2 linked regions of the Diceros bicornis minor genome follow. The protein of the gene in region 1 purifies or fractionates together with the protein of each later gene. This does not show direct contact. Links are inferred from orthologs where the notes say so. Each region holds a gene or a part of one and is shown on either strand. Other genes may lie near its edges.

Region 1 (7,601 bases):
TTCGCAGGTTGGGATCCTGGGCACGGACCTTATCAAGCCACGCTGTGGCAGGCATCCCATATATAAAGCAGAGGAAGACGGGCACGGATGTTAGCCCATGGCCAATCTTCCTCAGCAAAAAGAGGACTGGCAACAGATGTTAGCTCAGGGCTAATCTTCCTCACCAAAAAAAACCCAAAAAAAACAACAAGGTAGATCATTCTTTTTACCAATTTTTTCATGTTGGCAAAAATGAATTCTTACACATGACACTTCCACCATTTTCAGTACAAAATTTTTTAAATGATGGGAACATTTCCAAATATACATTTTCAGAATGATCATAGCACAAGATTTTTTGAAAATTAATCACTAAAAGGGACCTTAAAGTTGCAGGTTATGTATTTTTTATTTTCAAAATAAAAACTGCTACCCAGTCTTCACAGCCACAAAATGTTTAGCTAATTTTAAAAATTCTTAATTCATGGTCATGCTCCACAGCTCTTCTAAGAACTTTACAACGATATCACCTCTGCAGGAAAAAAGATTTTCATGGTCCCTCTCCAACACTTTACAAATTATTATAAAGATTCTATGATTTAAAATAACAGAATCCCCCAATAAATGTAAACTGCGATATGCTACAATATTCTGAAGGCGGAAGCAGGCACACCTTTGTCAACCCTCCAGTCTTTTCTTGGGATACCTGAAGTACCACATAAAACATGTGATTACGTATTTAACATAGAGCCGAAACAAGGATGTCAGTGTCAGTGTAAGTTTTATTAAAGTAAACATTATTTTTTTAATATAAGAAATATAAATTGAAGTATTAATTGTTTTTTGCCACTCTGCAATGGGTAGCCTAGTACCTCCATTTTAGAGACCTCTGACCAATGCAATGAAGTTCAAGCTCCTTTCTGGTCTTCCACAATCTGGTCTCAACCTACCTCTTCAGCTCCAAGTAGTACTTGCTGAAACTCAGCTACAGCCAAACTGGTTTATTCACTGTCACCTAAAACTGCCTAGCACTTTCCCGCTCTTGAATCCTTGCAGAAGCCATTTCTTCCAATAAGAACATACGCCAACATTCATCCTAACCTATCTAAAACCCATGAATCCTTTAAAAATATTCAGCTTAAATCTCATGTCTTCTATCAAGTTTTTCAAATCACCACAACCACGCCTCCCTCTAAATTCATACACTCAGTCAACAATAAACATTCAATAAATATATATGGAACACCTGCAATATGTCACAAGGCTACGAGGATACCACAGCTAACAAACTGATGGCATGTACTTATGTAGGCTGTTCTCACAGATCTGTATGTTAACGACCTACGTCAGAATTGCCAAGGGAGTTTTAAAAATACAGTTTCCCTGATGCCTACCCTGGGTTTATGAATCAGAATACTCAAATAAATATTTGAACACTGCACAAAATTTACAAGGAAATAAAACCTAAACAAGAATGAAAAAACAAAGGAAGACAACAAATGTCTTTTTAATTTTATGATTTAAAGAGTTCCACTACTTCTATTGTTCCGTTTTGCTATCCATTAACCTTTCCTCAGACAGATAAAGAATAGGAAGATGTTATAGAAAATAAGACCCTTAACAAGATCAGATGACTAATAACCTTCTAACATTGGGATTCTATGACCAGCCAGTCACTCACTCATTCCCTCATATAGACATTTATAAAGCAACTACTATGTGCCAGGTGCTGTCTAAACACAGCAGATATAGAAAGAAATATGATTCTACTCCTCTCCGCAGGCTGTCTGATGGAAAAGACTGATAATCAAAATAATAACCATGAGACAATGTGATAAACACTCTGATATCAGTACAAAAACACGTGATAAAAACAGAGGAGGGGTGCTTAAATGGGGGGGGGGTATGAAAAGGTTATTGTTCAGAGAAAGCTTCCCAGAGGAAGGAGAGAAATTGGGTAAGGGTGAGCGCCACAGGATGCCTGAAAGAAAATGCCTGAAATGCACTCAGATTCGCGAGAGTAAACGTGAGCTACTTGCGGGAAAAGTAGTGACTGGTGAAACCAGAGAGGAAGATGGGACCAGGTTCAAGGAGTAGGGATGATGTCAAGTCCAAGTGACACAACCTAATTTATATGTTAGAAACGTTACTGTCTTGTTACTTAACCTGTAAACATCTTTTGAGTAGAGGCCATATATTTACTTCTTAGCTATGCTCACATATATGTTGATAACTACTACTCAATCAAAACAGCGAAATATTGTTCCAGCCTCGTTCGTCTTCTATCACTTACTCCAACTGACGACATGGCCCTTCTGTTATGCCTTAAGTCATACTTGCCTTAAGGCCTTTGAACTTGTTATACCCTTCACTTAGAATACTCTGTTCATATATGGTTGGTCCCTTGTCATTCAGATATCATAAACTATAATTCATCAGCAGTCAGCATGTTAATGGGGGAACAGACCAGTCACGGATAAATAAAACTCAATTTCATTTTATCCATTCCCAATTCCAACAGCTGTTGATAAGAGAAAACTGATGGCTTTAAGTTTCATCTTTGTCTCTTTCCACATCCCGAAATACGTAATTTTAAGTAGTAAAGTGGCCGGAAGTTAGAGCAGCAGGAAGGCTTCAAGAAGCCTATTTAACTGTTAAATCCTTCAATCCACGAGTTTGGCTCATTCAAGTTCCACTTCTCAATAATGGAACCCAAGAACAATCAGAAAGCAGCACCTGGAAGAGGTGAGGCGGAAGCGTTCGCCATAGAGCCAACTTTCCCACGTACCACTAGAGAAATTCTTAGAAAAAGGACTTGAAGACAAGTCGGCTACCGAGTCGCGCAACGGCCTTATTCACACAAAGTCAGCCCTGGCGAAAAGAGCGAGCCTGGAGAGCCAGCCTCCCCCCAGCTTTACTCGGTGGAAGCTGAGGCCAGACCCAAGGCTGGCGGCCTCCCTACTAACTAGTCTCACCTCGCTGTAAATCCAACTTGGTTTCGCGGACGTAGTTGTCCGGGTTCCGGCTCAGCATCTTTACCTTCATCTTTGCTGCCGGTTCTCCCCGACTCCACCGGCCTCGCCCTCCGCGTTCGGGTTACCTCCGCCTCCTCGGGCACATGCCACATCCGCTTCTTCTAGACTACTTCCTGTCACGTGACTTCCCCGGAGTGGAAACCGGTCGATCCAGTTGGACCCTGCGGCGCTTCGTAGTTTTGCGCAGGTTGGCCGGGGGCGGTTCTCCAGCGGTGCTTTCTCATCGGCGTCCCTCCGCCCGAGCGGGCCGCAGCTGTGGGCGGGGCGGGGCCTCGGCAGAGGCGGGCGCCCCGCCTCCTTCGCTCTCTGCCGGCGTGACCTACGCCTGCGCGCCTCTCCTGCTCCGCTGCTCCTGGCGCTCTCGGCTTCTTGACGGTGCCCTGGCGTCTGAGGCCGCGCACCGCTCCCGGAAGTGGGCTCGCGTCCCGCGTCTCCTGCTTCAGGGCGGCGACCGTCCTCACGGTGGCGGCCACTGCATCTGGTCCCACCTCCGCGGCCCTAGGCGCGGTGGTATCAGCGGGCCCCGAGCCTATGACGGGTCAGGGCCAGTCGGCGTCCGGGTCGTCGGCGTGGAGCACGATATTCCGCCACGTCCGGTACGAGAACCTGGTAGCGGGCGTGAGCGGCGGAGTCCTGTCCAACCTCGCGCTGCACCCGCTCGACCTGGTGAAGATCCGCTTCGCCGGTAAGAGCCCGCTCAGGACCCGGCGCTCCTCCTTGCTGCCACCCCGATTTGGGGGATAAAGACGCAAAAGGAAGCCTTGGTCTCCCCTGTCTCTTCATACTAACCAAGCAAGAGTTGAAGAAGATGCTGTTTGTCCGGGCTCACCTGGCACTAGATTTGAGGAAGGGGAGCCTGGTAAAGAGGTGTGGCCGCCGTCGCCCCGGTTCCCCAAGACTAAGGGATGGAGAGAGAAGTCTGAGAAAAGTCCTTATTGGTGTAGAATGTAGGATTCCGAGCCTGATTTGTAAAATAAGAAAGGGATTGTCACATTTTAGGGCTTAGCCCTCACACGTGCAAATCGTTCACCCTTGAGGGTGCTTTGAAATCTTAGGGGAGCCACGTGTTTGGCAGCGCGGCTGAGAGGAAAAGGCAAGTGCCAGGGGTAGGGTGTAATCTTCAGCAGGTGGTTGGGAGTAGGTTTGGGATAGGATTCCCTTGAAGGTTTGTTTTTGGCGTTTATAGTGTGGTACAAGGTCCTGTGGAGGAATAAGTCACTGGAATTCAAATACTATTTTGCTTTTTATTTAGGCTTATTGAATTAAGTGCACTGAGTTAAGTGAATTAAGTATATTGAAATTAACAAAGTAGTTTAGAATAAATTCAGCACTAAATTCTGGAAAAGATAGTTTCAAAGGTCTGATAATTTTATTTGGAAACTGTCTTCTGGCATGTCAGTTTTCTTATTACTACGAGTTAAGTTCTGCCTTGAGGATTAGATCTGCAGAAGTGGTTTATCTTAAAGAGTCAGATTAATTCTATTCCCCAATATTTTGTTCTCTTAATAGTTCTAGACTGCTGTGTGAGATACAGAAGCATTAAGCAAAGTTCTTGCTCTCAGGGAACTTAGAGTCTAATTGGAGGCTTGAGACTTAGTCATATAAAAGATAATTCTAGACGGCATAAAATCAAGGGCAAAATGGAATAAATCCAAATACCAAAATATGAGTAGTGGTAGACTATCAAAATTATAAATTGCCGATGGTTCCATCAGATCTTGAGATTCCCTGTAGAAAGACTAATATTTTGACAGAGAGGAGGTGAGAAGCCATTCTGTGAAGGAAAATCAGTGAAAATTATGGAGTATTATCCCTAGAAGAAAACCCACAAAGGCATGTAATTTCCATGGAGTTTATGATGTATGCACAAATAAAAATTATGATAAGTAACATTCATTGAGCATTTACTAGGAGCAAGGCAATGCACTAAGAGCTTTAGGTGCATTATCTAATTTACTGTTCTGAACAAACCTGTGAATTTATTATCCCCGTTGCACAGATGAGGATAATAGAAATTGACTAACTGGCCCAAGTCACAAGTTTGTAAAGACGGATCTAGGATTTGAACCCAGGCAGTCTAACTCTAGAACCCTGTGGCACTTAATCACTCACCATACTACCTCTAGAAATCCCTAGTATACAATTGCTTGAACATGAAGAAAAGAATTCTGGACTTGGCTGCAGATGCAGACCTATATGACTTGGTGTCTCTCTTCAGCGTTTTGTCTAGGAGCAGAAGGGGGGACAGTTGAGATGATCACTGAGGAATAATGGGGTTGGCCTGATGAGTTTAAACAGTGCTGTGAAGCACACCGTGCCTGAAGAAAGAGAATTCTTGGTTCCTGAGAAGATTGGTAATCTTGATGAAATGGGGAGAGTATTAGGGCTGAAGTGACAGATAAGTTGATTGAGATTGGATGGGAAGACAAAATTAAAGATCTAGGAGTCAAAGCAGGACTTTGTAATCATAAAATGTGGCTGTGAAATGGTGATAGAAAAGAGGAAAATTTAGGAAGATGAATAACTGAAATCAAAATAGTTGATTGCCCATCAGCATTAATGCTAAAGTTTTTATACTTTCATAAAATTTAAGCCCTTGTAATAAAATTGTAATATCTAGTGACAGGGGTTGTTAGTCTTGAATGTGCTGTTAAACCAAACCTGGAATATTTCAGTGAATTCAGTTCAAATTGGAACTCAGAGGTGTCCAGAGTGATAGAAAGATTGGAAATCATTTCATGTCAGGGCTGGCCTCGTGGCTTAGCGGTTGAGTGCGCGCTCCGCTACTGGTGGCCCGGGTTCGGATCCCAGGTGCGCACCGATGCACCGCTTCTCCGGCCATGCTGAGGCCACGTCTCACATACAGCAACTAGAAGGATGTGCAACTATGACATACAACTGTCTACTGGGGCTTTGGGGGCGGGGGAAGAGGAGGATTGGCAATAGATGTTAGCTCAGAGCCCGTCTGCTTCAGCAAAAAAAAAAAGAGGAGGATTAGCATGCATGTTAGCTCAGGGCTGATCTTTCTCACACACAAAAAAAAAAAACAAAAGAAATCATTTCATGTGAGAAATGACTGGAGGAGCTAGTTTAGCATGGGAGGTGGAGTGGGACTTAAGGTGTTTAGAGATCAGCCATGTGGGAAAGGAAACTGCCTTATTGTGGGTTGATCTAAAGGGCAGAGAGAGGTTGGGTGGAAATTACAGGGAAGCAGATTTTGACCTGGCAAAGTGTTGGTGCTCAGAAATGAAACTGGTGATGACTGGAAGTGGTTCAGAAGTTGGATGACAGAGGTTAGAAGATATTCCTGTATTGGGTGGAAAGGTGGGATTACGTGATCATTGAGGCTTCTTCTAACTTTCAGATATAATTCTAAATCATCAAGAATGATGAGAGAGAGCCCCAACAAAGAACGTGACTGAGGTGTAAAAGTAGTGATTTTCTAAAATAACCTGAAATTTACACAATGTTATAAACCAAAGTGACCTCAGTAAAAAAAAATTTTTTTTTTAAATAAAATAATCTGAAAACCTAATAATCCATAAGTTAATCGAGGAACCAAAGTGTAGAGTCTGGTAACAAGAATAGCCTACAGTCCAGTTTTGTATGTATATAGTTTTGCAAGACCCAGTAACATAAATGAACTAATACTTATTGAATGCTTGCTACGTGCCAGGCATGATTTTAAGGGCTTTTTATGTATTAACTCACTTAACTGTTTGTGATTTTTAGTTAGGTTCTATTTTTCCCATTTTATGGATCAGAAACTTCAGGCACGGAGTAATCAAGTAACTGACTCAGGGTCACACAGTGAAGTGTTAGAATTGGGATTCAAACCCAGAAAATCTGATTCCATAGCATATGCTGTTAGCGTGAAACCGTAAGTGGGTAGTTTGGTATAGCTAAAGGGTAAAATGCTACAGGTAGAAATGAAAATGATTCCAGAAAGTTAAGAAGCTGTCAGATTGACACATCTTTTATGCCATGTAAAAATGAGGCCAGGTCTAGATGTTAGGAATAAGATCAGGACTAAAGATGTAAAAACTATAGTGCAGGGACGTGATTGCAGCGACTTAGTGATCGAGAGACTTCCCCTATTGGGACAGATTGCCTGTAAAAATCAGCATTTAAAGGATGGGCAGAAGAGAAGGAGGTTGCAAAGGAAATTTCGTAGCCAAAGAAGTAAAAGGAAAATCAGGAGACTGTGGTGTGAAACTAGCCCAAAGAAGAGTGTTATAGGAGGTAAACAATGTCAGGTGCTGCTCAAGGGTTAGTAAGGAAGAGAGGACTCCCCGAGTACACTCTGAGGTCTTTAACTAGGGCACTTGCAGTAATGGGTGGATGTCCAAACCAGATTGCAATGGATTGAGGCACAGTGGAGGTGAGAAAGCCCCTGCTGAGATTGTAGTTCTCTCTACCAGAAGCTTAAGTGATAGGGAGGCCCTGCTTAGGGCTTCAACATAGGAATTGTCGGGGGCAGGAAGCATCAGAAAGATTGTAAAGTACGCAGCAAAACATTTCTTGAGAGAAATGTTACTTGCTCTGAAACTTATCTTGTATAAACTTCATAACAACCTGTGACATAGG
Region 2 (7,106 bases), on another chromosome or scaffold:
GGGGCCTGGGCTTCTTAAAGTTCCCCCGGGGATTCTAATGTGTGGCCCAAACTGTGAACTCCATCACAAGGCCCTGGCTTCTGCTGACTTCTGACTGCGCTCTCTCTATCCTGGGCCCCACGCTCTTCCTCTCCAAGAACAAACTCGCTCTCCGGCATCTAAAGCTTTAACATCTGCTGTCCCCCTGCCTGGCTCCTGTGGACACGTGCTAGGCCCACCTCCTTCCCTGCACTCAGGTCTCTGATTAAATGTTCCTTCCTCAGACAGGCCTTCTCTGCTACCCCACCTTTCCCGTGCTTGCTCGTTCTTCCTATCGATGACCACACACGGCGTTTTTAATATTATCACCGCCTGCCTCCTCCACCAGAATCAAGCTCCAAAGAGACAGGCATGTTTAATTGTTTTGGTCAGCGCAGCATCCCCAGCACCGTGCGCAACACCTGACACCAAGCAGGGGCTTGGTAAACATTCAATGAGCTGTCTGTGATAACCCTTAGATCCCTGGGCTCTGCTCCTGCAGAGAGCACCCTCTCTGTTCATTCAGAAAGCAGGTGATCAGATGGTGACCAGAGCCCTGGCCCCTCCCCTCAAGCAGCTCATGTAGTCCATCCAGCGAGATGGCCACGCAATTCACGACCCTAGAGAGCAGGGAAGGTTTGTGGGAGTCTTGAAAACTTCACCTATAAGACGGAGATATGGAGATAACACAGTGCTCACCTCAGGGAGTTGTCAAGAGTAAATGACTTAATACACACAAAGCACTTCACCTAATACACTGCCTGGCACACAGTTTGCCTGGCACACAGTTTGAATTATTCAAACTCGGGGGAATGAGTCCCCCCTCCCTCCTACTTAGGAAGAAACCACTAGGCCTAAGAGGTTCTCAACCCAGGCCCGAGGAACAGAGACCTGGGAAGTGTGGGCACGGCATGGGGGACAATGGGCACGAAGGTAAATTTGCAGTCCCAGATACTCAAAGCATAGCTTAATCCATTTCAGGTCCTGGGGCTCTTAGAAAAAGGTACTCAAAGTACCCATTGCTCAGAAAAACACATATTCACACACATTTTTCTAGAAGTTTTTGGTGGAGGGTCCACAGACCCCCTGGTTTAAAGCTGCTCTCCTCCCACAGCTGTGCCCATCTCAAAAACGGCAACTCCATCCTTCCAGCTACACACGCAAAAGCCCTTAGTTATCCTTAATTCCTCTAGCTCACACCCACATACAAGCTGTTGGCTCTGTCTTCAAAATATATTCCCAAATCATGACGATTTGTCAATCAGGTCCACTGCTCTCACCCTGGTCCAGGCCACATCATCTCCTAGTAGACTACAGCACCAAACTTCCACCCATGTGCCCATGTCCACTCTTGCTCCCCAAAAGTCTTATACACACAGAAGCAAGAGGGATCCTTTTAAAAGTGTCAATCAAGTCTAACTGACAGCATCCCTGCTCAACATCTCCCAAAGGCTTCCTCTCATTCAGACTAAAATCATTCCCGCAGAGCCGATTCCTGAAACCTGGTAGATTTACTTTTACCACTTCATATCCTAACGCAACGGAGGAAGGGTTGGGAGGAAGGTGTATCCTCCATTCCTGGGGGGAATCAGACCACAGGGTGCCTGCAGGGATACCAGGGTCTCAGGACATACAGAGCCTGGCACCTCCCACCCCACTTCATCAGTAGCTCCCTGAACATTGAAGAGAAAGAGAGCCTGGGAGGGGGCATGGATTCACAAACCCCACCCCCGCAATGACCCCATCTCTCCGCACACCAGAACAAAAAAAAAAGAAAAAAGAAAACCTGTACTAGGAAAATAGACCCGTTTGATCACAGTGGAAGATTTCCTCAGCTCCAGTGGAGAAAGTTGTGGGGAGGGGTATGGCCTGACTTAGGAAGAGCTGAGACACCAGGGAGAAAGACCCTAATTTTGTTCCCCTTGAGAAGATAAAGATAACAATTAGAGCCAATACTATTATATGGCAAGCCCTGTGCTATTTTTTCCCCAGCTTTATTGAGACATAATTGACATACAACATTGTCTAAGTTTAAGATGTACAACCTGTTGATTTGATACACTTCTACACTGTGAAATGATTACCACCATGTATTATTTTTTGTTAACATGATCTCACTAAATTATAACTGGGAGCCATTTTATTGCTGAGAAAACTGAGGCTCTGAGAGGTAAAGCCATTTGCCCAAGGTCACACAGTAGGTTAAGAAGCAGAGCCAGGATTGAAACTTTGAACCGAGACCCTTCAGCTGTCAAAGCCAAGGCTCTCATCATTACACCATGAGGGAGGTGGGGTGGGTTCATCAGAATCTCAGGGAAAATCGAAAGGATAAAAGCACTTATGCCCTGTGACTACCTCCCCCCTCCCCCACGCTAATCCTATCCTGGGCTTGTGAAGTTTCATCTCACCGCTGAGTTGAGAATCACTAGGCCCAGGATCTCTACTCCATCCTCAGGGACCCGCCTCCTCGGAAGAGTCGAGAGCGGGAACGTGGGCCAGACAGGGCCACACGCTATAAGGCGGGAGTCCTCATCCACTCCGGCCCTCTCTGAGAAGCTGGGTTGGGGGCTAAGGGGACGGTGGGAGCGGCGGCGATACGGGAGGCAAACGGGGGCCTCGCAGACCCAGCACGAGGGACTCGCCACCTCCAAACCAAGACATGTTCCCAAACCCATGCCCAGAGATCCCAGACCCCAAACGCTTGGATCCAGACTCTGGGTCAGTATCCCCGACTGCCGCCCCCGGCCCAATGTCCAAGACCCCTAACGACGGCCTCAGTGAGATGAATCCCAGTTCAGGACCCTCCAGTTCCAGGGACTCACGACCGTGACCTCCCCCTCCCCACACGAGACCGGATCCGAGCCCAGAACCCCTGCCCTGAGGCCAAGGACCCCCCACTCCGATTCCGGCCTGGGACCCCGATTCCCGCCAGGCCCCAGTCCCTGACCCTCGACCCCAACCCTGGCCGCACCTGGCCTCATGGCGAGAGCGGAGTTGCCCGGCTCACGAGCCTGCCGCGTCCGGAACTCCACGAGCCCGGGGATTTCGCACGTGGAAAAGAGCGCACGCGCGCGGCGACGTACGGGGCGTGACGCAACCACGCAGCCCCGCCCCTCGGAGGCCAGCTCCGCCCGGAGCCCGGCGCCTGTGCTGTGGGCGGGGATTCCCGAGCCTCGTCGCTCTCCACGCTGTTTTGACCTGTGCAGCGATCGGTACCCTAAACACACTTCCCGCTTCCCCATCACCGGTTCGAGCACCCCGGTAAAGAGGGATCATCTCCCAGCCTTCGCACGGGCCGTGCCCTCGGCCCCTCTTCTCTATTCCTCGTTAGCTCCCAAAGGTCCCCTCTACACCCAAAAGCCTTTGTGATCCATTTCCACTCCCCAAGAACAGGGACCGACCGACTCTGGGCTCCCATTCATACACTCGAAAAGCATTTATTGTGCGCCTTGTATGTCCCCGGCACTATGCTAGGCGCTGGGAATACAGCAGTGAACAAGACATAAAAATCCCCACCCTCCTGGAGCTCGTCTTCTAATGGGAGAAACAGACGCCAAACAAGTTATTAGAAGGCAGGGAAGGGAGATAGGGACTGGTGTGTGTTGTGTGTGGAGGGAGTGACATTTCTCGTAGGGTGGTCAAGGAACGCATCAGGTGACTTTTGAGCAAAGAGCTAAAAGGAGGTAAAGGAGTGAGCAGATTCTGCATAAGTATTGAGAATTTTGTGATTTGTAATTTTATAAATTAACATTCATGCCTATATTCATTCCACAAAGCAAAACAAATGCTACTATGAAAAATTCCTTAAAACCTCCAGGAGAGTCCACTAGTCTGTTCCATTCATTGCTGTATCACTCAGTACCTAGAACAGAGCCTGGCACAGAGTGAGTGCTCAGTAAATGTCTGTTGAATGAATGAATGAACCCATGCTGTTTTACATTCTCTGTGCAGGGTGTTCCAGCCGTACAGAAACATTCCTGAAAATTTGTTTAAATATTAAGATGGAAAATCTGCTGAGTCTATTCTGGATATCCAGGAGCTGCATAGTACTTCAAATGGCTCCAATTCAGGAGGATGTTACCTACTTCTTATGGCTTTTACTGTTTGCCTTCCAATTAAAACATTTTTTTTTCTAAAGGACAAAAACAGTCAGGCTACAGTGCAGATTTAGGGTTGCCAGCCCTATTTTCTGGAATCCTGGCACCATTTCCTGGCTCTGAGGTATTTCACCTGCCAACTTGCTCTGCAGACCTGAAATTGGCACTATCAGTGAGTAGTTAGTGGGTGCCGGCTGGTCTTTTCCTGTGTGTGTGAGGAAGATTGTCCCTGAGCTAACATCTGTGCCAGTATTCCTCTATTTTGTATGTGGGACGCCGCCACAGCATGGCTTGAGGAGCAGTGTGTAGGTCTGTGCCTGGGATCTGAACCCGCAAACCCCGGGCTGCTGGGGCAGAGTGTGTGAACTTAACCACTATGCCACCAGGCTGGCCCCACCAGCTGGTCTTGTGCTGGGGACACAATGGTGACTGAAAGAGTCCCATGCCTTGCCCTCCTAGAACTGCCAGTCCAGTGGGGGAGACAGACAGGTCTCAGACAGTGTCAACCCAGAGTGGTGAGGGCCAGAATGGGGGAGGTACAGGCAGAATGGTCAGGGCTGGGAGGGGGAGCCATTGAGGGCTTTTCCCTATATCTCTCATATCCTCAGCTCCCTCTGAGCCTTCCTTTTACCTTCCTGCTCTAACCACAACCTAGCTCTCCCCTGAAGACATGCCGTTCTGTGCAGCCCTTCCAAGCAGGAGCTGTTTTCTCCTCCTTGCTCTTTGCCTTTCTCTCTGCCTCCTCCCTAAGCCCCTAATTTTGAACCTTATACTATAGCACCTGCTCTCATTCTTGCTGCTAGCTCTATCAACTCCCAGCTCACTTCATCATTTTGGCTCCAGGCTCACTGCCACTCAAGCTGCTCTGATCATAATTCTTGGTGATTTCCATATTCAGGTTGATGCTTCTGGGACGGTTCTGGCCTCTCTATGCCTTAATCTCCTCTCCTCTAGTGATCTTGTCCTCCACCCAACCCTTCCTTCCCACGGTCACACCTAGACTTTGTGCTGGGGACACAATGGTGACGATGAGGGAGAAAGACCAGTCCCCAGATAGTGACAACTCCAAAACTGCAGCCCTTTGTGCAAAATAAGAAAGGAAACCTCAACTAAATTGGAGTCTGGAAGGCCTGCAGGGGGCGCTCTCATGCCCTAGCATATATCATTAATTATTTCAAACAGGAAATGGCTTAGCTTGCATCTCCGACAGGAAGTACAATTACTGTACTACTGAAGGAAGATTTTTCTCCCCACCCGGCAACAGCCCAGCCAATGAGAACCGCCAGTGAGAAGCCATTGCCACCCTGAACTGTTACTTTCTCCCAATGGACTTTCCTTTAGAACAGCCCCTCCCCACTCCTTTTTCTGTACAAAAGTGAGCTTCTTTCCTTTGTTTTCTGGATTTGCCTATGGTTCACCATAGTGTGCACATCCCAAATTGCAATTCTTTTGGCTATTCCTGAATAAACTCATTTTGAGGGTAAAATAACAGCCAAATTTTCCTTTTAGGTTGACACTCTGCAGAATCTCAGATCCATGCATCTCACTGTCTGCCCATTGCCTCCTGTCTCTCTAGCCCACTCCCTCTAGAGCTATTGCTCCAATGATCCTTCAGCTCCACCAGTTCATTTAGCTGACTGCCTTTTCCCTGTCCCTCACCTCCCCATGACCATACCACTCCCACCACCCAGCCTGAGTCCCCATCCATCATGATCACCACTCCCTTGCTCACACCTTCACAATATGTGCTCTTTTCTAACTTTGTCTTTTTCACCCAGTTGAGTCCACTGTCCACCTCCCCTGCACCTGCACCCTGGCAGCTGGATGTGGATGGAGAAAAACTCACACCCACTCTGGCTGGTCTCACTTTGGATTCATGACCACAAACCCGATGGGCCCTAGTGCTGCCCAGCCATCCTATCACATGTCCCTAATCCACTCAGTCTCCCATTTTATTTTTTTCCCAATTGGTAGTATTGGTAACATGTGTTAACTTTTAAATGCTTTGTTAAGGCATAATTCACATACCATAAAATCCACCTGTTTTAAGTGCACAGTTCAATGAATTTTAGTAAACTCATACAGTCGTGCGACCATCACTGCGATCCAGTTTCAGAACAATTCCATTATCCCATTTCATACAAATGGAATCATGCAATATGTAGTCTTTGGTGTCTGGCTTTTGTCGCTTAGCATCATGTTCCATGTTGTTGCATGTATCAGTCATTCATTCCTTTTTATTGCTGAGGATTCCATTGTATGGATACACCACATTTTGTTTATCCATTCATCTATTGATGGGCATTTGATTTGTTTCCAGTTTTTGATTATTATGAATAATGCTGCCATGAACGTTCATGTGTTAATATTTGTGTGGACATGTGATTTCATTTTTCTTGAGAAGAGTCCTAGGAGTCAAATGGCTGAGTCATATGGTAAGAGTATGTTTACCTTTTTAAGAAACTGACACACTATTTTCCAAAGTGGTTGGACTTGCTTGAAGGATTATTTTACACTTTCTCCTTTCTCATTAAACCTCAGAACCTTCTCCTCCTTTCTTACTCTTAGATGATGACTTTGCTTCCCACTTGAATGAGAAGATAGAAGTAATCACAAGAAAACTTTAATATCCTCCCATCGCCATATCTGCCATCCAACTGTCCCTGTTACTTCATATGCTGTATAAGAAAAGTGTTTCTGTACTTACACACTTCACTTCTGACACCAAATGCATGAGTTTACCACACCAAGCAATTCTCCAATTCTCTGCAGACTCCAACTGGCGTCCTACAATTTAGTTCAATTTGGACACTACCCGGAGTTAGCGCAGACCCCACAGGTTAAGGGCTCAGCCCCACAAGACTGCCCCCACTTCAGACACCAATGGCAAGTCCAGGCCACCCATACTTCTGGCTATAAATCAGGAGAGCCCACGACCCCTTCCTCTGTTCAACAATTTGCTGGAACAGCTTATAAGATTCAGGAAAAAGG

The links. The genes of interacting proteins can lie anywhere in the genome.
Region 2: the proteins of DCAF13 (region 1) and FBL purify together in Homo sapiens (affinity purification with western blotting; 3 studies listed by BioGRID, with this or other methods). This does not show direct contact. The link is inferred for Diceros bicornis minor from reciprocal best matches to the Homo sapiens genes DCAF13 and FBL.

What each region holds. Positions count from the first base shown.
Region 1 is NC_080760.1:21,525,919-21,533,519, reverse strand, and holds the start of DCAF13 (DDB1- and CUL4-associated factor 13), read right to left. Parts: upstream 3,103-7,601; 5' UTR 3,025-3,102; coding exon 2,955-3,024; intron 1-2,954. Other genes in the region: SLC25A32 (mitochondrial folate transporter/carrier), read left to right, coding at 3,546-3,699. UniProt on the Homo sapiens protein: Part of the small subunit (SSU) processome, first precursor of the small eukaryotic ribosomal subunit.
Region 2 is NC_080773.1:13,614,121-13,621,226, forward strand, and holds the start of FBL (rRNA 2'-O-methyltransferase fibrillarin), read right to left. Parts: upstream 3,099-7,106; 5' UTR 3,000-3,098; coding exon 2,990-2,999; intron 1-2,989.